4 linked regions of the Arabidopsis thaliana genome follow. The protein of the gene in region 3 interacts with the protein of the main gene of each other region in a pairwise test. Each region holds a gene or a part of one and is shown on either strand. Other genes may lie near its edges.

Region 1 (5,296 bases), 2.1 Mb from region 3:
CACGACCATCTCTCTGGAAACTACATGGCACGACATGGAAAAGCTTGTTTCTATGGGTTTAGTCCGCAGCATTGGAATCAGGTTCAACTTCTCTCACTATCATTACAAGTTCTCTTGTTTAGTCGCCAATATATGAATTTTTTGACCATTAGGTTTTTTGCAGTAACTATGATGTCTTTCTAACGAGAGATTGCTTGGCTTACTCCAAGATCAAACCTGCTGTGAATCAGATCGAGACACATCCTTACTTCCAACGTGATTCTCTTGTCAAATTCTGCCAGAAACATGGTATCTGTGTCACTGCTCATACTCCTCTCGGAGGTGCCACAGCCAATGCCGAGTGGTTTGGCACCGTGTCATGCCTGGATGATCCAGTTCTCAAAGTAAGCCCCATCCTCTAAACCTTAAAAGTTTGGATTGAACCTTTGACAATTAAAAAAGGACTGCGTTTATCTGAATTCTTAGGATGTGGCCGAGAAGTACAAAAAGACAGTGGCACAAGTTGTCCTGAGGTGGGGAATCCAGAGAAAAACGGTGGTGATACCAAAGACATCAAAGCCTGCGAGATTGGAAGAGAACTTTCAGGTTTTCGACTTCGAACTATCGAAAGAGGACATGGAAGTGATCAAAAGCATGGAGAGGAAATACCGCACGAACCAACCAGCCAAGTTTTGGAACATTGATCTCTACGCTTGATCACACTCTCTCTATCTACATGAATAAATGAAGCTTAAGAAGATAAACAACGAGAAGAAGCCATAGCTTTACCTGAAACATTCTCAAATGTTTGTGAGCCTATCTTTCATACATAAACTCATGTTGTTAAACAGATTATGATTTCTTAAGTACTACAATATCACACATTGATGGAAAGTGATATAGATTTCTCTCTTCTCTATTTATATGCTTAAATCCACAATGAATCATTATTGTAACTGAAAGAGGATATTTAAAAAGACGAGTATACCCTTGATTTCTCTTGTTTAGTAGTAGAGAAGAGGGTAATTTGGTAAATGACGAAGTAAGTACATTGAGCTTCTTCGCGGACAGAGACACTATCTCTCTCTCTCTCTACCCTTTGGATCTTTCTTCTCGATCAATTATCCATTTTGCCCAGATTTTTTCCAGAAGCTCATCGAATTCGTAAGCTTTCGCGCCTTTTCCTCTCTTTAATTTATTTGTTAATCAATTTTGAATGTGTTGTATCTCTAGGGTTTATAATTTCAGTTTCACCCTTGTTTTCTATTGTTTCGCGGAATAATCTCTTGTCATGGAAGGTTTAGATTGATTCGACCTTTTTGATCTTGACCTAATTTATTCCAATTTTCGTAAAATTGTTCCTTAAGACCTGTTTCTCTGACTAGCTCAGATTGATTTTGGTATCTGAATCAATTGCGGAACCCTAACTGGCAGATCAATTCGAGAAGTTTTGATTTTGTTTGAAGATAGTGAATTGCGAGTTCAGTGTGCTAATATCTGCTTGTAATTCTTACTCTTCAATTGTTTTCATAGATCGAATCACAATGTTTGAAATTTGGTTTCACTGTTGCTGAGTGTGTTTGGAGGAGAAGCTTGATTGGTTCGGTGTTTCACTGTTTGAAGATTATAAGAGTTATGGAGAATGGTGGTCAGTATGATAATGCGCGGTTCAAGCCCGATTACTTCAAAGGTGCACAATCTATGGTAAGACTTAAGATTTTTGGTTTCCTAAAGATATGTTTTTGTTAGTGTGATTGAAGTTATATAAGCAAAGAATGTTTGTTACAGTGGAATATGATTCCCCAGCATCAGATTAAGGAACAACATAATGCGTTGGTGATGAATAAGAAGATCATGTCCATCCTTGCTGAGAGAGACGCTGCTGTACATGAAAGAAATCAAGCTGTCTCTGCTAAAAAGGAAGCTGTCGCTGCTCGGGACGAAGCGCTTCAGCAACGTGACAAAGCTCTTTCTGAGAGAGATAAAGCTTTGATAGAGAGAGATAATGCTTATGCTGCTCTTCAACACCATGAAAATAGTCTCAACTTTGCTTTGTCTGGTGGGAAGTGTGTTGATGGAGATGATTGTTTTGGTATTGGGGAACCCCACAAACTTGAAGTCTTCCCTTTGTCAACTATTCCGCCTGAGGTTACAAACACGAAGGTGGTGAACAAAAGGAAGAAAGAGAACAAGCAGGGACTATCAAAGGTGAAAAAAGTGGGTGAAGATCTGAACCGTCGAGTTCCTGCTCCTGGAAAGAAATCTAGAACAGATTGGGACAGTCAAGATGTCGGTTTGAACTTAGTCACCTTCGATGAGACGACAATGCCTGTACCCATGTGTTCGTGCACAGGCTCTACGCGTCAGTGTTACAAATGGGGAAATGGCGGCTGGCAATCGTCTTGCTGCACAACCACCTTATCCCAGTATCCATTACCGCAGATGCCAAACAAGAGGCATTCTCGGATGGGCGGTAGGAAAATGAGCGGAAACGTTTTCTCGAGATTACTCAGCCGTTTATCAGCAGAAGGATATGATCTCTCGTGTCCTGTTGATCTTAAAGACTATTGGGCTAGGCACGGGACAAACCGCTACATCACTATCAAGTAGCCTCTGTTGTTTACACAGTCCAAGTATGTTTCTCTCGTCTTCTTAAGATTAGGTGTTGTCTTTGTCTTTATTGTCCATAGTTTGTTCTTTGTTGTGTATGGTAAAACCATTGTTATGTGTATCTTTTGGATGGGCAAAAATGGTTTGCATAAAAAATCTGTGTTTTGACCTCAAAAAATAAAATAAAATCGTAACAGTTAAAAATCAAAATCTGTTACCCCTTTGATAGCAAAATCTGTTACCCCTTTTTTCTTTCACTTGTTAGTTTCTTTTTATACCGAGAGGAGAGAACAAAAAATAAAACACAAAGTAAGCATAAACAACAACAAAATGATGGAGAAAGCCACAGTGGCGCATGTGGAGACGCATCAACGGTCACAAGAGATATGGTTTCTTGGCGCCGCAAGAGCCTTCTTGCAAATTCCGAATCCGGGGATTGTCAAAGTTTTTGTCCTAAGCAGCTTGACTACATTCACCTCAGGAATGGCTTTAGTCATTGAGTGGATCTGTCACGGAAAGAGTCACACGGGATTCGGGTGGATCATCTACTATGCATTGTTCTTGATGTGTCTTCCTCTTGTCATCTTGATCGGTCTTCATATTCTCGTCAGGCGCGGCTCAGATCAGATTGTGGATTCAACTCCAAGCAAAGAACCGTGTGTGGTGCAGAATCAGAGTACCGAGACGACTAAACGAACTGAAGAAACGGTGAAAAACAGCTGCCAAAGTTTAGCCGTTGTGGTTGCTCCGGATGACAAGAAGATGCCGAGGATAAAACGCGCAGTGTCATTCCCGTCTCACGGCGAAGTAAGATCATGTCGAACTCGTTAGCAAATTAAAACTTAGTGTGGTTCATTCAAAAAAATAACTTTGATGTGGTTAGCTATCAGATCGATTCAAGAATCTAATAATCTCTTTTGTGATATGTTTGTTATTCAGCATTTTATCTTTTCCAATAATCCAACGACCAATGATCTTCAAAAATTCGAATTACATCTTTCTTTCTTTTTTCCCCTCTTATGAGCTGAGTTCAATATATATATATATATATATATATATATATATATATATATATATATATATTGATGTACTATATATTGTTAGTTAAAAGCAAAAGATGAAAAAGTCTTACAATGGGTTTTGGTTTTTCTTTGAAATTTTGTAACAACCCAAGTAAAATACTAGATCCTCTGTTTTTTAGGGAAAGTATTTTTTGCAAAATTTTGAATTGCTATAAAGTAGAGTTTTGGAAAAACTAAAATAAAAAATCTTTACATTCAAGGTAAAAATCTCTACTTCTTTGAAATAATGCCACGTGTCAGTTCAGCGAGGAATAATATGTGTGAGTCTCATGGGTTGTTTGAGTCAATTTCGTTACCGGTTCTACAATAAGAAGTTACTTTGGCCCAAATAGAAAGAAATTTTACTTATCAAGTGGCCGAAAGGTGGCCCCAAAAAAACAAGGAAGTAAATCTACTAATGTACATTTGTCGCTACATAATTGGTCTAAGATAAATTACTTATATAGAATACTGTTATGGTGATTTACCCAATTTTTAGCCAAATGTGGTAAATTTAATTTCTAAACAAACTTACAATCATTTATAGTATCTATTAATTTATTGCTAACAACAATTATTTTTTCCAAATAAAAATACATTTTTTTTTACAAAATTTAATTTAGATTCACTGAAATATCTACAATTAAGTAATGTAATTTAATGTGGGTCCATGTAGTGCATAGAAAAGATTTACTAATTAAGTGATTGCTAAAATCAATAAATTAATAAACAAAAATAAAAATATTAGTTGATCAAAAAAAGGAGATATATGATATTTATTAATATAGCCAAAAAATAAATCTCACAATTACAATTAATCAAAGGACTACAAAAATATACAAAACTTTCTGTAAAAAATCAAACAACAATCATTTGTAAAATCCAACATTGGTAATTCTTCTAGAGATGAACCAAATGTATATCTAAATCAGAAAAAGAAAACAAACAATATTTATGTTCCTTGATCAGTCTTAAATAAACGTGGTAAAATAGTTCGATTACAACGAAATAAACGTGTCAATAACTCATTAATAAAACTGAAAAAAACGTGATAAAATAACTCACTAGAATAAATAACGCGGCAAAATAACTAACTAATGACTCGATAGCAAAACACAAACAATTTAGATTTATAAATTTTCATTGTATAACCTTACAACACAGTACAGTATAGCTTTTTATCTTAAAAATGTAAAAGCTGTTTTATAGAAAAAATAATTCAAATGTATAGATATAAAATATTTGAGACCATAAAAAGGGAAAAATCCTTAATTAAATATGAGGAGGGTGAAAAACATGAGACTTGTGTCCTTTCCTTAACCAAATATAAATAGGAGGGTCGTGCAATCTATTGAACCAGACAAAAAAAAACACCAATCATTTTCTCAGAGAGATTTCTTTTGTCAACTGTCCTTATCCATTGTTGAAGCTTGAGGTCTCCTCTCTTTTAACTCTTTATGTCTCTCTCAAGTCTCAACGTTTCAATCTTCTTCTTTTTTTTTGGTCTCCTTGTCTGCAACCTGATCAAAGTTTTCATAGAATTAATCTGAATATCACGATTTGATCATTTCAATTTTAGCTTTGGACTATTGTTAACTCTTTCCCATTTATGCATTCGATTTTTGATTTCTTCTTTAAGAAAAATA
Region 2 (7,204 bases), on a different chromosome or scaffold from region 3:
AAGAAAAAGCGTATGATTAATTGTTTTCTCAAAGGCGTCACATCTAATACATCATGTATCACAGTTTATACCTTTTCCGCATTCACTTCTACCATATCTTAAATCTTAAATATTTTCTTTGTTTTTGTGTTGTTTTTTGGGTTGAAAAATTAATTGAGACATCATTGTAAAGGTTTGGTTCTAAATTTTATCTTTATATTTCTTAGATTGTTCTCATATTATTTTATCTATGACGAATTACTAGATTATACTTATCATTCATTTTCATATTTTAGTTCCAAACTAAATGAAAATTTTGATGGTTATATTTTTATGTTTTTAATTCAAAATTACATATGTATAATGAAAATTACATTTTTGCATATTTAACGATGGAGTTTTGAAAATATCAATTCCCACCATTTCACAAGAAGAAAATCAAATTCGGAAGATCCATCTCCATTTTCTACATGAAATAAATTATTATAATATCATATATAATATTTTTGTAAAATTTCTTACATACTTCTTTCTAATCTCAAATAATGTTTTGTCCAACAAATTACATCAAATGGTTTACAAGATATATGTATCCTCTCTTAGGAAACTGACAACTAAACTAGAAATATTTTAGGAAGATATGCAAAACTACCATTTCTTACTACTCTTTTGCAACAATACACTTTTATGTTATCCATTTTAAAAAATACCACTCATCTGAACAGAATGACCAAATAACCCTTATCTAATAAAAACATGTAACTGGAACTGAAATTTTCCCACCAAATTTTTAGTGCCAAAATTTACTTTTCCCGCCAAAACAAAATTCCGCCAAACTTTTTTCCTGCCAAAAAGAAAATTTCCCGCCAAAATGTTTTTCCCGTAACAAATTTTTTCTCAACCAAAATAATCCTTTTAAAAATCCTTAGAAAGTTTTTTAAAAGCTTTGATAGTTATTAAAAACCCTTATAAATCATTTTAAAATCTTTATAAAGTCTTTAAAAACATATGTAAATACTTTAAAAATCCCTTTTAAACCTTTGTGAATCATTTTAAACCTTTTACAATAGTTTTAAAAGGATTTACAAGGATTTACAATGATTTTTAAACCTTTGTAAATCCTTTTAAAATCTTCTTAAAACTCTTATAAAGTCTTCACAATCATTTTTTAACTCTTAGAAACAAATTTGTTAGTATTTTAAAACATTTATTATTCTTTTTGAACCATTTTAAAACTCTTGTGAACCTTTACAAAAGGTTTTAAAAAAACTTACAAGAGTTTTTAAAGGATTTTAAAACTCTTGTAAATATTTTAATTTTTTTTTAAACTATTGTAAATCCTTTAAAACCCTTGTAAACCCTTGTAAACCATTTAAAAATCTTTTTAAAACTCTTGTAAACCCTTTTAATAATTTTGAACCATTTTAAACTCTTGTGAACCTTTACAAAAGGTTTTAAAAAGATTTATAAGAGTTTTTAAAGAGTTTTCTTTTAAATTCTTTAAAAATCTTTTAAAAACCCTTGTAAATATTTTAAACGCCTTAAAAATTCCTTGTAAATCTTTTAAAACACTTTTAAACCCTTTAAAAATCTTTTAAAACCCTTTAAAAATCCCTTGTAAATATTTTAAAACCCTTTTAAACCCTTTAAAGATCTTTTAAAATCCCTTGTAAATCTATTTCCAGCCAAAAAAATATTTTTGCGGGAAAAATGTTTTTGAGAAAAAAACTTTGATGGAAATTTTTTTTTCGAAATTTTTTGGTGGGAAATTTATTTTGGAATATTTTAGGCGAAAAAATATTAATATTTCATTTTGTTAACCTAAAACAATTTCGAAATATGAGTAAAATGGTCATTAAAAATTTAAAGAGGTATAAATGAAAATGGCAAATAAGAAAAGGTAGAATTGAAAAGGGGTAGTGTGGAAAGGACATTCTGAGCAATTATTCAATATTGTATGACTACTAAATTCTCATATGCAAATGTGAAATCAAATTTGTATTCAATCACTTGTTTATATAATGTCTGGTTCTTTAGATATTAGCTCACTTCAGGTAAGAAAACAAAATGTGGTAGCCTCATTACTTCATTAGTGCAAAGAAAGTGATTCTTTGGGATAAATTTGGATAATTTTGAATCAAAGCTGTAGTAGGACAATACACTTTTATAGTATTTTTTATTAAAGGGAAAACTCAACATCTAAAGGCAAGGAATATCCAACAGTTTGAACGCTAAACAATCAAGGGACAAGCAGAGCGTTTTCTAAATAAAGTTGCCGTTCTTTGAGAGCCGAGCTCGAACCGTAATCTGGCTTCATCACACACATAGTTCATCTTCCCGGTCGTCCCATCTCTGCAATCAGGAAAATGCAACCTCGATCCAAACCTCATATCACCTCTTTCCTTAATATTCTCCATAATATCTTTCACAATCACACCATCCATATCTCCTTCAGAGGCAATCGATGTAACCTTAAGCAGCTTAGGCCACCACGGTTTGATATTGTAACTAAATACTCACAAGAGTTAATCTATGTTAGTTTTCGAAACAAAAGAAATATGTGAACAAAACTAACAACCAAGGAGTGAAATCTTTTGAGTCCACATGCAATATGTGATACAACGAGGATTCATCCCTCTCAGTATAGACTAGTTATTCTGAAACATAGCTTCCTCACTACCGCAAGAATCCCATGATACAACAACTACGCTCTTACAACAATGGTTAATTTGATCACGATTCAATAATCATCTACCATGATTCACTCTCTTTTTGGTTAAAGTTCAAAGTAATATTTTCGCATTTCTTTGATATAAAACGATGTCGATTATTTGGTTCATGACTTTTTATTTCTCTTAGTTTCACAACAACTTCGCTCTCACAACAATGGTTAATTTGAGCACTAACCAATGACCAATTGACCATGCATGATTCACTCTCCTTTTGGTTAAGTTCAGACAGTGTAAAAGCTTTTCTTGTTACAAAATGCTGTCGATTTTTTGGTTCATCAATTTTATTAATTTCTTTTGCACTTTCACCAACACCTAATATTAAAAAGAAAATAAAAACAAGATCCACCAATTCAATGCGATAGGGTAAGTGACTAAATGTTCATTGCCGTTGTCACCCTTTGAACCCAATTTAGGACTCAAAGAGCCGTCTGATTATATTTAACCTTGGTCGAAGTATTTCTAACGAGCTGGTAAGTCCTCATTGGTCCATTATATTCACTGTCCACAATAATTTTAATTACTTGTACGACTCGGTTAACTCCTTCTAGGAAAAACTAAAGTGTACCTACCTAGTACATACGTACTTCTTCATATTACCACAAGTTTTTTTTTTTTTTTCTTGCATTCAACTACGTGTTTAAAGTTTCGGCCCCAAACTTCGGCCCAAAAACAAAAACCAAATAAACTATTACAAAAATCTTTGTTATCATATCACACTATCATTTCAAGTTTTCAACCAATCCATACTCTTAACAATCCCATTAAATTGAGATTTATTCATATTAAGAAATTATGCTGATAATATTTAACTACCAAATTAGGCCGATTCATACCAAAACTATAGAATATGTACTAAATAATTCCATTACCTTCGTTTAGTCATTTTTGGCGGTTTATTTCTTTTGGATAGATCTCATGTCAGACCTTTTTAGACTATTCATTATGGCACCTACCACACTAGTGTGTCTCCATCTTCTGTATTTATATACATATATCATAAGTCAGAACAAAGAGAAAGCAAAGAAGAGAAACTAAAACAGAGCTTTTTTCACATGGGAAAGGATAAGACTTTGCCGTTGCTTGACCCTCGTGAGCCACCGGAACTCACCGGAACCAAGTCGGCGTCAAAAGTATGGGCCAAAGAGTTCGGCGAAGAGTCGAAGCGGCTTTGGGAGTTAGCAGGACCAGCGATTTTCACTGCCATAAGTCAATACTCTCTTGGTGCTCTCACTCAGACTTTCTCCGGCCGTCTCGGTGAACTTGAGCTCGCCGCCGTCTCAGTTGAAAACTCTGTTATCTCCGGTCTTGCCTTCGGTGTCATGGTATGTTACGTAAACACCCTTCACACGTGTCAGGTTCTTGGTAATGGATAATGTGTTCTAATAATAGCCACAGAAATAAAAGTCAATATTTGAGGACTTTTTTTGTATTAATTAATATCAATATTCGTTAATATCAATGAAGTAGATTTTCCCATACATTTAAAATTGTTTCGTAATTGTGATTAAGTAAATCCTAACAGTGTGTTTTATATTCAAATAAAGTAGATATATTAATGTAGTTGAGTTCAGTGTTATAATATTTGTTATACAAGTAATCTCTACGAGGGTCCTTGTGTAAGCTCTCTTGAATTTTGTTGCTTGTCATTTAAGTTTCCTATGAAAAAAGCTTAGAGATCAAACAATATAAACATTTTGATGATGGAAAATGGTGGCAGTTAGGGATGGGGAGTGCATTGGAGACGTTGTGTGGACAAGCATATGGCGCGGGACAGATTAGGATGATGGGAATATATATGCAACGTTCATGGGTCATTCTCTTTACTACTGCTTTGTTTTTGCTTCCCGTCTACATTTGGGCTCCTCCTATTCTTTCCTTCTTCGGCGAGGCTCCTCACATCTCTAAAGCCGCGGGTATCATTCTTGTTATTCCTTTTTGCCAATTGGTTTTGAGTTTGGAGTCAATGTTCACGTAACAACTTCTGCGTTGTTATAATTTTCAGGGAAGTTCGCATTGTGGATGATCCCGCAACTATTTGCCTATGCAGCCAACTTCCCGATACAGAAATTCTTGCAGTCACAGAGGAAAGTTCTTGTGATGGCTTGGATCTCTGGAGTGGTTTTAGTTATACATGCAGTTTTTAGCTGGCTCTTCATTCTTTACTTTAAGTGGGGACTTGTAGGTGCAGCTATCACTCTCAATACCTCGTGGTGGTTGATTGTTATTGGTCAGCTTTTGTATATCTTAATCACCAAATCAGACGGTGCGTGGACTGGATTTTCTATGCTAGCGTTTCGGGACCTCTATGGATTTGTCAAACTTTCCTTAGCCTCTGCTCTTATGCTTTGGTACCTATCCAATTTTTTTTGGCTAGAAGATAGCTTTAGACTTACGTTAGCTGAGACTTCGCTTGTAATGAAAGGTTAGTTGTTTTTGTTTTGCAGTTTGGAGTTTTGGTACTTGATGGTTCTGGTTGTTGTTACCGGTCTCCTTCCTAACCCGTTGATACCAGTCGATGCCATCTCCATTTGGTAATCAATTTGTGCTGATCTTTGGTTAGTTTCTCACTGAAAATAGGTTTGTTTAGTAACATATTTTATGTTTTGGGGTTCACAGCATGAATATAGAAGGGTGGACTGCCATGATTTCGATCGGGTTTAACGCTGCGATTAGGTAAGTTCTCTACCTTTATGTTTCAGGAGCCACATTTGGAAAGCTAATAAAAATCTCATGAACTGGTGAACTTTGTCTCTTGGTGTGATCAGTGTGAGAGTATCGAATGAGCTGGGTGCAGGAAACGCAGCGTTAGCCAAATTCTCAGTGATAGTCGTCTCCATAACTTCAACTCTTATCGGGATAGTGTGCATGATTGTTGTCTTAGCCACAAAAGACAGCTTCCCTTATCTTTTCACTTCAAGCGAAGCTGTGGCAGCAGAAACCACGAGAATAGCCGTCTTGTTGGGCTTCACTGTCCTCTTGAACAGCCTCCAGCCCGTCTTGTCAGGGGTTGCGGTTGGAGCGGGGTGGCAGGCTCTGGTTGCATACGTGAACATTGCGTGTTATTACATTATCGGACTACCTGCTGGTCTTGTTCTTGGATTCACACTAGACCTCGGCGTTCAGGTTAGCTATTTACTAATATGACCATTTTGTATTAGCCTTGTTCTTTTTAATCTGGTGTTAAATCATTTGTATATTTTTGTAGGGAATATGGGGAGGTATGGTAGCTGGAATATGCTTGCAGACACTTATATTGATTGGAATCATCTACTTCACTAACTGGAACAAAGAGGTCTCTTACTTTGTCTTTTAGTTGCTGCTATGTTCCTCCTTTGTGTTTGGTTTGATCATTTCATTAATTAGCTTTGAATTCTAAATTATGCAGGCTGAGCAAGCGGAGAGTCGAGTTCAGAGATGGGGAGGAACGGCGCAGGAGTGATCAACAACTCCCTTAGGACGTGGACTATATCAGTTATTGATCTTTTTTTGTCAATGTTCAATGTTGAGAAAATTGTTTATCGGAGAACAACATCATCTCTTTTTGTTTTTTGATATGCTTAAAGTTAACGAGTCTCTCAGTGATTGTTAGAGGGGTACGGTTTGTTATGTGTTAGACTTATGTTAGATTCTAGGATGGTTGTTGCTAAGCCAAAGTTCTTGATTAATTTTAAGTATGAGATTTAATCTTCATAAGCTTGTTGATCCTTCGTTTTTATTTTAATGGTCAGACTTGATCCAATGTTTATGTTCATTTGAAGGCGAAGATCTTACCGTTTGTCAAACATAGCTAATTAGTGGTGGTATTAGCAACAGATCTTTAGGACTGTCGTTGATCTGTTGCAACTCAGTCACTAAAAATTAACAAATCTTATATAAACAAGAGGAATATTAAAAAGAAAAAAAGAAGATGAAAATGAATATCAAAATAGTTGTGTGACGATACAATATATTAGAGATGGACTACAACAATTCATGAATCAGGGTCACAGACTAACCGTTAAAGCAGTAAATTTGTCTGCCCATCTCATAAGTGTTTGAATTAAAATTTAGGTCAGTCGAGAGCTGTGTGCTATATACTAGATAGTCTACCCTTAATTACTATGTTTGGTTTTCGCATGGAGATTTACTATAAATACACAAACAAGTAATAGTGCTCAAATTGTGAATCAACCCATGCACTAATCCTTTTCATCAATTCGGTCACGGTTAGGATAATGGATTCCGTAATATGGTAACAAATGCATTTTCTGAAATATCAAACTAACATCATTTAATGATTATATTGTTTGATACATTTTATGATATATCAAACTCTGTAAATCAACCAATATATATACAATTACAGTCTAACTTATCTTTTTTTTTTTTAATCTGTGAATGGTTTAGATTTGCATGGATTTAAGGACATAACTAATTAATAATGGTTTAGCGTCTTGTTGTTTTCCTGTTTGGGCATGCGTGCTTCTCTTGAGTCTTTTGACCTTGTAATCTCT
Region 3 (5,648 bases):
ACAGAGGATACAACATAGCAACAACAAGTCGGAAAAGCTAAAGCATCGACAAACATAGAGATCAAACATAAGCGAAAGCTAGCAACAACAATGCTCAAAAAGAGACTTGGGGACAAGGGTGAACCCAAAGGTTCTAGCAAAGCAGCAACTAACCAAGAGCATCCAAAAAAGCAAACACCTTTAGCTTGGAAGACCTTGTCGAAACCACAATAAGGAGGAAACAAAGCCTCCAATGACACTAACGTCAAACAATCGGCAAAGGCTGAATGAGAACAGTCTTGAACAACAATCCTCGCTTCTACTTCAAGCAGATCAGTATTGCACACAATGCTCCCTGTAACTTTATCACTAAACACAAGTGAAGTATTTGAGAGGATAAAAAGCTCCATAAAGGAGAGATGAGGGCTATGAAATCCCCAATGAACCAGAAAAACTGGTAGGTTGTCTGAAATCAAAGCCCTCCGTCTAAGCTGCGAAGAGACAACTTTTAACAAAAACAAATCGAGATAGAATCCGCATACTGCAGTAAAAGATCGCATTAAAGCGATAGAGGTATTACAAGAGAGCACAAAAGTATCCAAAACATTCTGTCTAAGCTGCGATGAGACAACTTTTAACAAAGGCGAATTAAGACATCCACATATTGTGGTAAGTGATCGCATCAAAGCGATAGAGGTGCTACAAGAGAGCACAAAAGTATCCAAGCCAATCGAAACTAGATAAGCTACATATGAATTACACAAACCCAAATTCCACAAAACCAGAGCCACAAACTCTATCAACAACCAAACCCTTCCAATCTTAGAAGAAACATACGGCGAAGAGTAAGAGCAAACCTGAGGGAAATACTGAGGAAGAAAAGTGGTGTCGTCGGCGAGAAGGAAAACATCAATGAAAAAATCAGTGATCGAAGAGGTCGGTGACGGAGATTCAGATATGGCGGAGGAGATATGGAGAATGAGCGAGACCAAATCTGGGAGGGAAGAGGAGCTCAACGACTGAGCATAAGAATCAGCAAAAGTGAAGCAGATCTGAGAATCTGGTGGATCCGGTGGTTCCGGTGGAGTCGGCGGAGATGGAGGCTCTGGTGGTGGTGCACAAGGTGGCCTCAGAAGGAGGAAGGCGACCGAAGACGACGGTAAGCGACGAGAGTGGCTCGCATTCGAGAGAAAAAGGAAAGTCATTTCAAGTGAAAGACTCGCCGGAAAACAATTACGCCACCGGAAAAGTAGATTCATTGGAGAGATCTCACTTTAGTAGTAGCTACAATCAGGAACGCAGGCAGTCAGAGGAGCAACGCCGGTGAAGAGAACTAATCACGAACAAGGCTTGCGGCTACCTTGGTTATCTTGCTTGAGAGAAAATTTTTTTTTTTTTTTTTTTTTTTTTTTAGTAAGAGCCTTTTATTCACCAATAAGAATTTTGTTCTTTCTAAGTATACAAAATGACTAAAGAGTATTTTACTTAACTCACAAATAGTACACAGGAGAGCTCTAACAGATTGAAACGTGAACCTCACCTGGAAAGAAAGTACTTTCTTTCATCACACACTAAAGTCTTCAAAAGCTGTTGAAAGTTCTTTACTTGTTTCAAAAGCGACCAAGGTTCCTAAGAATTGTTTAGCTCAGAGACCAACTTCCAAAAAAAAAGATATTAACCTGTAGAAAGCTTTTGTTCTGGATCTTGAACTCGCAACAAACATCGCAGCTTCCCTCAACAAAACATTGCTTTAGGATCCAGAACAAATATGGTCATGGTCTTTGAACAATGTTACCACATAATCTGTTAAATCTCCTGCTTTTCAAACATGTAAGTGAATTTCAACAGAAACAAATCTAGCTCCACTCTATGAATATTGAAGCAGTTTTCTGAGAATCCGGAAAGGGCCTATAAATCAAAAGAGAAATAAAACACCTCAGGTAGGAGAGTCTTGAACTTTGAATAGTATACTAGTCTTTTTGGATCCTTCTAAGGTTACATTAGCAACATCAACGACCTTGGAGTTATGAAAAAGCCTAGCAATGTCTCTTACATCATCTCCACCACATTCATCAACCGAAACCACACAAAATCCGCCACGTCTCACCGTCCTCTCCATCTCCTCCACAAACTGCCACGGAAACAGAGCTTCAGCTAGATGTGCAGTGAAGGCAAAATCAAAGACACCGTCGAAAAACGGAAGGTTATGAGGATCAGCTCTTTTCACAAGAGGAATCGAATCAACCAATTCAACTGCGGTAACATCAGATAATCCGATCTGAGAAAGAGCCATCAGAGCATGGCCTGCTCCGGCGGAGAGACAGAGAGCTTTGGTGTGATTTTGAATGAATCCGAGATCGCGAAATCGGAGGAAGTAGGTAGAGAAGGAGTATAGACGAGATTTCCAAGCTCCAGAGGACCAGATTCGAGCGTTCTTCTTTGGGAGAGGAAGATGCTGACGAGGCGATGAATCGCATGTAGATCTCGGGAAATGCGTATGAGGTTTCGATGGAGCTTCTGGAGAAATACAAGTTTTTGGTGTCTGGAGAATCATAATTACCATTAATACTGTTCCGATGCTTAAGAACACTATTGATACTCTCTTCAGCATCTTCTCGACGTTTCTCTCCATCGTCGCCGATCAAAACTCCGATCAAAATATCTATGTTTATATAACATCAATAATAAAAACACAATCACCTAACAAACGCCGTTGATTGTTACCAAAACTCTAAATAATCTATTTTTGGAACGAAATTCAAATATTCATATAAGATTAGCGGATCGAATTTCTCTCTATTTCCTCAATTTTCCACAAATCTATGTCGATTTAGTATAATTAATCGAAACATGGTCAACTAACAAACGCTGCGAATTGTTATCAAAACTCGAATCCATCTATTTTTGGAATTAAAATTCAAATATTCCTCAAAAATTAGCAAATCAAATTTCTCTCAGTTCCTCAATTTTTACACAAATCTATGTCTATTTAGCATCAATAATTAAAACACAATCAACTAACAAACACCGCCGATTGTTACCAAAACTCGAATCCATCTATTTTTAAAAACAAAATTCAAATATTCCTCAAAAATTAGCGGATCGAATTTCTCTCTAATTCCTCATTTTGGCACAAATCTATGTATATTTAGCATCAATAATCGAAACACATTCAACTAACAAACGCTGCAGATCTAATCCATCTATTTTTAGAATCGAAATTCAAATCTTCCTCAAAAATTAGCGGATCAAATTTCTCTCTTGTTCCTCAATTTTCGCACAAATCTATGTCTATATAGCATCAATAATCAAAATACAATCAGCTAACAAATGCGCTGCTTTGTCACCAAAACTCGAATTCACTTATTTTTAGAATCAAAATTCAAATATTCCTCAAAAATCAGCGGATCGAATTTCTCTCTAATTATTCGATCAAGAAACAAATCCTACATTGTTAGCAAGTAGTGGGTATAATGACTGGAAAAATGCTGCGCAAAGGCTGAAAAGACATGAAACAACTCATCGTCATATTATTTCCATGACTCATTGGATGGAGCTAGAAGTGAGATTACAAAAGAGTAAAACAATTGATAACCATATGGAATAGGCAATTAAGAAGGAGAAAAAACATTGGAGAGATGTATTGGTGAGAATAATTGCAGTGGTAAAGACTCTAGCTAAACAAAATTTAGCATTTTGTGGAACTAAAGAGAATGTTGATGATCCAAATAGTGGAAATATTTTGGCATTTATTAGAATGATTGGAGGTTTTAATTCGGATATGAAGGAACACATTCGGCGGGCTAATAAAGGTGAAATTCATTGCCATTTTCCCAGTCATAAGAGTCAGAATGAATTGACAGAATTACTTGCTAATGATACCAAGATGATGATCTTAAAGAAGATTAAAGATGCGAAGTATTTTTCAGTCATTCTTGATTCCATTCCGGATGTTAGTCGTAAAGAACAAATGACCTTCTTAATTCGATGTGTGGATGTTTCAACGTGTTCACCTAAGATTGAGGAGTTCTTCTTGACGTTTCTACACATCAAAGATAAGAGGGGTGAGGGGCTTTTTAAGACTCTTCAAGATGCATTGATTGATCTTAAGTTGAATATTGATGATGTAAGATGACAAGCATACGACAACTGACAAAATATGAAGAGAAAACATAAAGGAGTTCAGAAAAGGTTGCTTGATATAAATCCAAGAGCATTTTACACTCCATGTGGATGCCATGGTCTTAACCTTGCACTTTGTGATATGGCTTCATCATCCAAGAAAGCTGTTTCTTTTTTTGGAATTGTTCAGCGAATACATTGTCTGTTTGAAGCTTCAACCAACAATTGGGAAGTGTTTAGAGAAACAGTGAATGGTATTACACTTAAACCGTTGTCTCAAACGCGTTGGGAAAGCCGCATTGATAGTCTTAAACCAATAAGATATTAAGCTTCAAAGATACAGATACAAGATGCACTTTTTTATTTGGCAGAATACACTGATAATCCAGGACACCGGAGTGATGTTGAGTCTCTTACAGAGAGTGAAACACATGGAATTGGAGGGTTTGAATTTTTATTTGGAATGATAATTTGGTACGATTTGCTAGCTGCTGTGAATATAGTAAGCAAATCCTTACAGTTTGAGGATATGGATCTTGAGGTTGCTATTTCTCAGTTAGGAGGGCTTGTTACTTATTTGAAAAACTACAAAGAAACAGGTTTCGAGAAAGCCAAAGTTGAATCTACACAAATTGCCATTGAGATGAAGATTGCGCCGGTATTTCCAAAAAAGTCGGTGAAAAAAAAAAAGCAATTTGTTGAGGATGTTGAGAAGATTGATGAAAGTAAGATTGCAGAGGAGAGTTTTAGAATTGATTACTTCATCAATATAATGGATCAAGCTATAATGTGTATTGAGATAAGATTCGAGCAATTCCAAGTATATGAACAAATATTTGGATTTTTGTTTGGTGTAAAGAGATTGAAGGTAGCAGAAGATGATGAGTTAAGGACATCGTGTATGAAGCTTGAAGCTTCTTTGAAGCATGATGTGCATTCAGATGTTGATGGAGAAGATCTGTTTATGGAGCTGAAACTTTTAAAAGATGTGTTGCCAAAAGAGATTACAAAGCCGGTCGAAGTGTTGAAATTTTTGAAAATAATGGATAGCTGTTATCCAAACACATGGATCGCTTATCGTATACTACTCACCATTCCGGTTTCAGTTGCTTTGGCGGAGAGAACTTTTTCAAAATTAAAGCTCATAAAAAAATATCTACGTTCGACTATGTCTCAAGAGCGATTGAATGGTTTGGCGCTGATATCTGTATAACAAGAACTGGTTGAGAAGCTCGATTACCAAAAATTGATGAATGAATTTGCAGGAGCGAAAGCTAGGAGGATTATGTTTCGCCAGGAAGAAAACTGAGATTTCTATTTATTTTTTTTCTTGTTAACAATTTTTATGTTCAATTTTCTTAAACAAAATAAATTTCATATTATTTTATTTTGCGAAAAAAATATATTTGGGCATCAATTTTGAATTTGCTTTAAGCATCAAATATCCTCGGACCGGCACTAAATCTAGGGTTACCATTCTGCTTCTTCTTCCATCTTTTCTTCTGCTTTCCCATGATTTAATTTCCTTTGAAAATTTTCCAATGGAA
Region 4 (6,557 bases), on a different chromosome or scaffold from region 3:
TTAGAGATATGTACCTATAAGTCGGTATCATAGATCTCGTATACGCTATATTTAATTGTACTTACTAATGTCAAATGTTAACCAATTGTTTACAATAAGAATCTTAGATTAAGCTCATTCTTAATTTATAGTGTATGAATTTCAACTACGAATGTAGTTCAGAATTCTTTCTTTATGAGTTTAGGTTTCTATATTAAATATAGATATGAAGACTTAAAACCATTTTAGATAATATATCAATCTTTAGGGCGGGGTCAATGATATAAAATTTCATAATAAAATTACATATGTTAGATATCAAAACATATAGTTCTTGATTTGTACTAATGTTGACATAAATTGATATATAAATGTTAACGTGTCGCAATTACATTGAATTTACCATGTTTTCTAACTAATTAACCTGCAATCTCAGTTTATAATGTATGTTCACAATATAAATATCCGAACAACAACAAAAATGAAATTAAAAAGACTTTTCACGATAGCAACATGCCAACATCTAATAATGGCGGGAAGCAACTTACATAACTGGTCAGTTTGTAATGTATATAAATGTTGACGGCACTCGCTTAGTTAACTTGTGAAATGGTTAACGAGGGAAAAGTATTATAATCGTTGCTTAGGGAAAACTATTTAGAACAATTCCGCATTAGTCTTTTGGACTTATCCAACAAATAATTGATATTGACAAATTAACATTATAATCTCCATTAGCTTATTTTAACCCTACGGTTGGCTTCTAAGAACAACTCTAATTTGAACATTTCTTTGAGTGACTTTTCAGTGTCGGCGTTTCACATGGATGTCTTTATCTGCAACCTCAAAGAAAAAGTTTCGATTATAATTGTTAGAAGTTTTTATTATACTCTGAACTTTTTTTGTAACTTTTAGATATAAAAAAAACATATATATGGGGCTTATCTTATACATTACTAACTAAATGCATCTGGGCCTGGGCCTGATTCTGGGCTTAGCCATAACTGGATTATTTTCCTTTTTTTTTTTTTTTCTGAAATCAATGATATATCCATCAACCAAAAGAAAAACATTCAGAAATTTCTTTCAAAATCTCTTAAGCTAGTTTTCTTGTGGTCCAGAAAAAAAATTGGTTTCTTTTTACTGAAATTTAAACCTTGAGAAGTTTTGAATCAACAAAATATGGATTTTGACCAGTTGCCATACTATAGGCTTTTCTTTTCTGTATGCTTTCCGAATTGTTCATAGTATTAGTCTATAATACTTCTTATTGGAAAATATGTCGAGATTTTGAACTAAAAATTGACCGATCAAGATCGTTACCAAAGATATTACTTTTACAGTACTTGTATTTTATTAACTTAGCCAACTTCAATATCTATATAAGAATATGATCTTGTCATTTTATTCTGAGAATCTAATACCAAAAAGAAGTTATATGGCGTTCTTTTATGTTTCTAAACCCTATCATATCAATTTAACACATCCGAATCCAACTATAACCAGTCCTCCTAAATGTTAGAGTGTCGGGATAGAATAAAATTGAAGTGCAAGAAAATTCAAAGAAGATCGATCATGAAGCTGACTGAGACGAAAAATCAAAGGTCAAAAATTGAGAAGCTTCCTAAAGAGACAAGTGGACAAGTTTTGACCAGTTGTCCATTTGACACATGAGGACCCATCACTATCATATCACTCCTTAAAGTCGTTGCTCTCTCCCTCTTATCACTACCTTTCTTTCTCACAAATCCAGGATTCATTCATTCACGTTTTCCTACACCTCAAACAAGTTTTCAACGTCACTATAGACTATAGTGTATTTATGGAACATTTCATTTCCTAAAAATGATACAATCTATTATCAAAAGAGAAAAAATCTAACAATTTTTGGATAAGTCCACTTATTCATAAGTACTGTGACATGAAATCCTATTATTTATCTCAGCATTTAGTTTGTTTCTGCATCACGCCAAAGGAGAAAATGTCAAAAGAATCTTCCGTTTATTGCATCACAAAATTTATAAAAATTCATATGCAGAGGAATATTTTATATGTCGACCACTGAATACTTTCTGATGAAGGAACAATATTAGTTACATAACCACTAATATAACACATAGTAAATCTTAGCCTCTCATTTGTTTGTTGTCGTCAATCTCAGCCTTTCAAGCCACACTATCTAAAATGATTTTTGCTTTTGTACTTCCTGTGAAACGTTTGGATAAGTACACATCTATTCTGATATCTTTTTAGTGTTCACACAATATTAAGTTTTGGAAATGTTGCAAGAATAATACTTCTGTCACCATCCAGAACGTTTTAGTCAATTAGAGAAATGATAGTTCTCTTACAAGTTAAATTTAGTTATATGAAGTTTAACCAAAAAAGTTTTGTTGACCAAAAAAGAAAGCTTTACCATGGTTCAAAAGTTCTGGAAATAAAACCAAACAAAGCCGAAGAGAAACACGTTTCTAGAACTCCAGTCTCAGAATCACAAACTTGAATTTGTGTGTCTTAACCATATGACTCATAAGATTGAATTTACTTCATTTAATTTAACTAAACAAAAATGATCAACAACATCTCACTCATTGACCATTGACCACTAGAAGTCACATGCAGACAAACTGGATTAATGCATCAGTCAAAATCAAAGTGTGGTTTTTTTTTGTATATACACTTCCTCCTTATAAAACCAATTAATCATAGAATGAAATTAACTTCTATTTAATTCAAGCTTATATAATCTTGATTAATACTTCACCAACCACTGACATATTATTCAAATCTCACAAAGCGTGGCCTCAAAGAAACACTACCACGACTTTTTTTTCTTATCCTTCTCTTCACCTCTTTTAATAACTTCAATTTCTATCTTCAATCTTTTCCTCTTTCGTTTAACAAAACAGAGTAAAACTAAACCGGATTAAACCGGAAGCAGCCATGTTCGTCAAGCTCAAGCTCATCTTCTTCTTCTTCCTACTCTGTCAAATTATGATTTCTTCCTCTCAAAATCTCAACTTCACCTACAATGGTTTCCATCCTCCATTAACAGATATCTCACTCCAAGGTCTCGCAACAGTAACACCCAATGGTCTCTTGAAGCTTACCAACACATCGGTACAAAAAACCGGTCACGCCTTCTGTACTGAACGAATCCGGTTCAAAGATTCCCAAAACGGCAACGTATCATCCTTCTCCACAACCTTCGTCTTCGCGATACATTCTCAGATCCCAACACTAAGCGGCCATGGAATCGCCTTCGTTGTAGCTCCAACGCTAGGTCTTCCTTTTGCACTTCCTAGTCAATACATCGGTCTCTTCAACATCTCTAACAATGGTAACGACACGAATCACATCTTTGCCGTCGAATTCGATACAATCCAGAGTAGCGAGTTTGGAGATCCAAACGATAATCACGTCGGAATCGATCTCAACGGTTTACGATCGGCGAATTACTCGACGGCGGGATATAGGGATGATCACGATAAGTTTCAGAATCTGAGTTTGATTAGTCGCAAACGGATCCAAGTTTGGATCGATTACGATAATCGTAGTCATCGAATTGATGTCACCGTGGCTCCGTTTGATTCTGATAAACCTAGAAAACCTCTAGTTTCGTATGTGAGAGATCTTTCTTCGATTCTTCTAGAAGATATGTATGTAGGTTTCTCATCTGCGACTGGTTCAGTTCTCTCGGAGCATTTCTTAGTCGGATGGAGTTTCCGGTTAAACGGAGAAGCTCCGATGCTCTCGTTATCGAAACTCCCGAAGCTTCCTCGATTTGAGCCTAGAAGAATCTCTGAATTCTACAAAATCGGTATGCCTTTGATTTCACTATCTCTGATCTTCTCTATCATCTTCCTCGCTTTCTACATCGTGAGGAGGAAGAAGAAGTACGAGGAAGAGCTTGATGATTGGGAAACAGAGTTTGGGAAGAATCGATTCAGATTCAAGGAGCTCTATCACGCGACCAAAGGTTTTAAGGAGAAGGATCTTCTCGGCTCCGGTGGATTTGGGAGAGTTTACAGAGGCATTTTACCAACGACGAAGCTTGAAGTCGCTGTGAAGAGAGTCTCACATGATTCAAAACAAGGTATGAAAGAGTTTGTGGCGGAGATTGTGAGTATTGGTAGGATGAGTCACCGGAATTTAGTTCCTCTCTTGGGTTACTGTCGCCGGAGAGGAGAGCTTCTTTTGGTTTACGATTACATGCCTAATGGGAGCTTAGATAAGTATCTTTACAACAATCCGGAGACTACCTTAGATTGGAAACAAAGATCTACGATTATCAAAGGAGTTGCTTCAGGATTGTTCTATCTTCATGAGGAATGGGAACAAGTTGTGATTCACCGTGACGTGAAAGCTAGCAATGTTCTGTTAGATGCTGATTTCAATGGTAGACTCGGTGATTTTGGGTTGGCTCGGTTGTATGATCACGGCTCGGATCCTCAGACCACTCACGTTGTTGGAACATTGGGTTACTTAGCACCTGAACATTCCCGGACTGGACGTGCCACTACCACGACTGATGTCTATGCGTTTGGTGCGTTTCTTTTAGAAGTTGTTTCCGGTAGACGACCCATCGAGTTCCATAGTGCAAGCGATGATACGTTCTTGCTTGTGGAATGGGTTTTCAGTTTGTGGCTCAGAGGTAACATAATGGAAGCGAAAGATCCGAAGCTCGGTTCTTCAGGTTATGATCTTGAAGAGGTTGAAATGGTATTGAAACTCGGTCTGTTGTGTTCGCATTCAGACCCTCGGGCTAGACCAAGTATGAGGCAGGTCTTACAATATCTAAGAGGAGACATGGCACTGCCTGAATTAACGCCCTTGGATTTGTCGGCGGGGAGCGTGATGAATCTGGGAGGCCGGGACGGTTTTAGCGGTATTGCAATGACTGATTTTTCCACTGTGTTTAAAGGGTTTACCGGCGGATCTTCCATTGCTGACTCTCTACTCTCCGGTGGGAGGTGATGTTTGATGTTCCAACTCTAGCAATGTTTTATGTTTATAGTTTTTTTAAAAAAGGTTTACTAATACGGATCATGTACATACATTTTTGCCTTTGTATGGAATATATAATTGAGTTTTTTGTGATATCTTATAAGAATTTATAGAGTATGAAGATTATGATTGCGATAGTGGATTCAGTATCAAGAACAGTCTCGCAAGTATTATTCATGACTTAAACATAATAACGGTACACTATGATATTGGCAAAGTGAACGGAGAAGTTGTAGAACTTGAAGTCCATGAGTGTAGATTTGTATTACAGAAACAGAACACAGATAATCTCTTTAATAGCGTCTTGTTGTCGCTCAGATATACATAAACAAGAGCTAGAGAAATTCTAAAGCAAAGCTGATTTGTTGATAACTGCAAAATCTAATAATTTGGTTGAACGAGATCACGGTGCAGGACCAAGAAGAAGTGGAACCGGGGATTCACTCGTTTCATCATGTCGTCTTGCAGCCCAAGCCCTTAGAGGAGGTTCAAAGCGGTCCCTAACCACATCAGGAGCCAGCTCGTCGTCAGAAGGGAGGTAGACCAGACCTCTTTCTCTTAGAAGGGACGGTTCATCATAACACACGGTCCAAAGACTATCCACTAGCTGTCTTTCTTCTCTAGCTGCACAAAGATCTTCGTCCGACATCACAATTATTCGTCTTGTTCTCTCCTCAAGAAGCTGTCTTAGATTCACATCCCCTCTATCAAGGTTTCTCACAGATTCTTCACGGGCAAGCTCTAGGAGACCACGAAGAGCGAATTCCCGAACTTCAAAATCTTGGTTGGATGCTAGGTGGATCATTATGCGAGGGAATCCAAGATCTCTAACGATTTTACAGTCTGAGTTGCTTTCTTGGAGAAGATAGTGAAGCAAGTTCAACGCTTTTCTGAAACAGAAAGAGTATATTGGTTACTACACTGAAAACCTGAACCGAAACAGAACCAAAACCCGGATCAATTCATCTACCTAATACATATTCTTGAGACCCTATTTACCTTTGGAATCTAACGGTATCAGAGACCAAAGCGTCTCGCAGGCCAGCATAACCATTTGCCAGACGGAATGCTGTAATCCCGGGTTGGTTGTTACGGATAAGAGCTGCAATGTCGAAAGCAAGAAAAAAACTGTCAAACTTTTGGGTTCTCAAAGCAAACTTTGCTAGAAATAGTAACTCTTACAAGATATAGCCCCGAGTGCCTTGGTCCGGACTCTAATGTCAGGATCAGCAATAAAGTTAGTTAATAATGGTTCGAACCCATTTGCTTCCATAACAAGTTGCTGGCTTCTTGGATTGTTTTGGACAACCGTAGTCAAAACATCGGCAGACTTTGCTCGAATTTTCGCATTAGAGTTCTTGAGATAGCTAAGGAGAGGAACCAAACCTCCAATGGAGTGAAGATCTAAAACATTTAAAGATCCAAATAATATATTAAAAAAAAGAACCTCGAAAAACAAAGACTAGTTATGTAAGATCAAACCATTGGCCAAATCTATCGACTCGACGTGTTCCTGCAGCTCAGCCAACATTCCTGTCAAAACAAAAGTAGATATAAGTTTATGAAATCGA

The links.
Region 1: the proteins of AT2G16030 (region 3) and AT2G21237 interact in a protein complementation assay, tested with the Arabidopsis thaliana proteins (one large-scale study listed by BioGRID).
Region 2: the proteins of AT2G16030 (region 3) and AT1G47530 interact in a protein complementation assay, tested with the Arabidopsis thaliana proteins (one large-scale study listed by BioGRID).
Region 4: the proteins of AT2G16030 (region 3) and AT3G53810 interact in a protein complementation assay, tested with the Arabidopsis thaliana proteins (one large-scale study listed by BioGRID).

What each region holds. Positions count from the first base shown.
Region 1 is NC_003071.7:9,098,808-9,104,103, reverse strand, and holds AT2G21237 (uncharacterized protein), read left to right. Parts: upstream 1-2,888; 5' UTR 2,889-2,919; coding exon 2,920-3,420; 3' UTR 3,421-3,568; downstream 3,569-5,296. Other genes in the region: AT2G21250 (NAD(P)-linked oxidoreductase superfamily protein), read left to right, coding at 1-81, 164-383, 466-696; BPC4 (basic pentacysteine 4), read left to right, coding at 1,615-1,683, 1,768-2,589.
Region 2 is NC_003070.9:17,447,961-17,455,164, forward strand, and holds AT1G47530 (MATE efflux family protein), read left to right. Parts: upstream 1-3,592; 5' UTR 3,593-3,763; coding exon 3,764-4,033; exon of another isoform or gene 4,034-4,327; intron 4,328-4,428; coding exon 4,429-4,624; intron 4,625-4,713; coding exon 4,714-5,059; intron 5,060-5,155; coding exon 5,156-5,242; intron 5,243-5,327; coding exon 5,328-5,384; intron 5,385-5,476; coding exon 5,477-5,834; intron 5,835-5,916; coding exon 5,917-6,003; intron 6,004-6,096; coding exon 6,097-6,150; 3' UTR 6,151-6,501; downstream 6,502-7,204.
Region 3 is NC_003071.7:6,972,281-6,977,928, forward strand, and holds AT2G16030 (S-adenosyl-L-methionine-dependent methyltransferases superfamily protein), read right to left. Parts: upstream 2,728-5,648; 5' UTR 2,612-2,727; coding exon 1,916-2,611; 3' UTR 1,393-1,915; downstream 1-1,392. Other genes in the region: AT2G16018 (uncharacterized protein), read right to left, coding at 299-340, 837-1,238; AT2G16019 (uncharacterized protein), read left to right, coding at 892-1,002; AT2G16020 (uncharacterized protein), read left to right, coding at 1,076-1,306; AT2G16040 (hAT dimerization domain-containing protein / transposase-like protein), read left to right, coding at 3,737-4,043, 4,473-5,314.
Region 4 is NC_003074.8:19,931,552-19,938,108, reverse strand, and holds AT3G53810 (Concanavalin A-like lectin protein kinase family protein), read left to right. Parts: upstream 1-2,716; 5' UTR 2,717-2,922; coding exon 2,923-4,956; 3' UTR 4,957-5,139; downstream 5,140-6,557. Other genes in the region: Fes1B, read right to left, coding at 5,390-5,876, 5,986-6,088, 6,169-6,390, 6,469-6,519.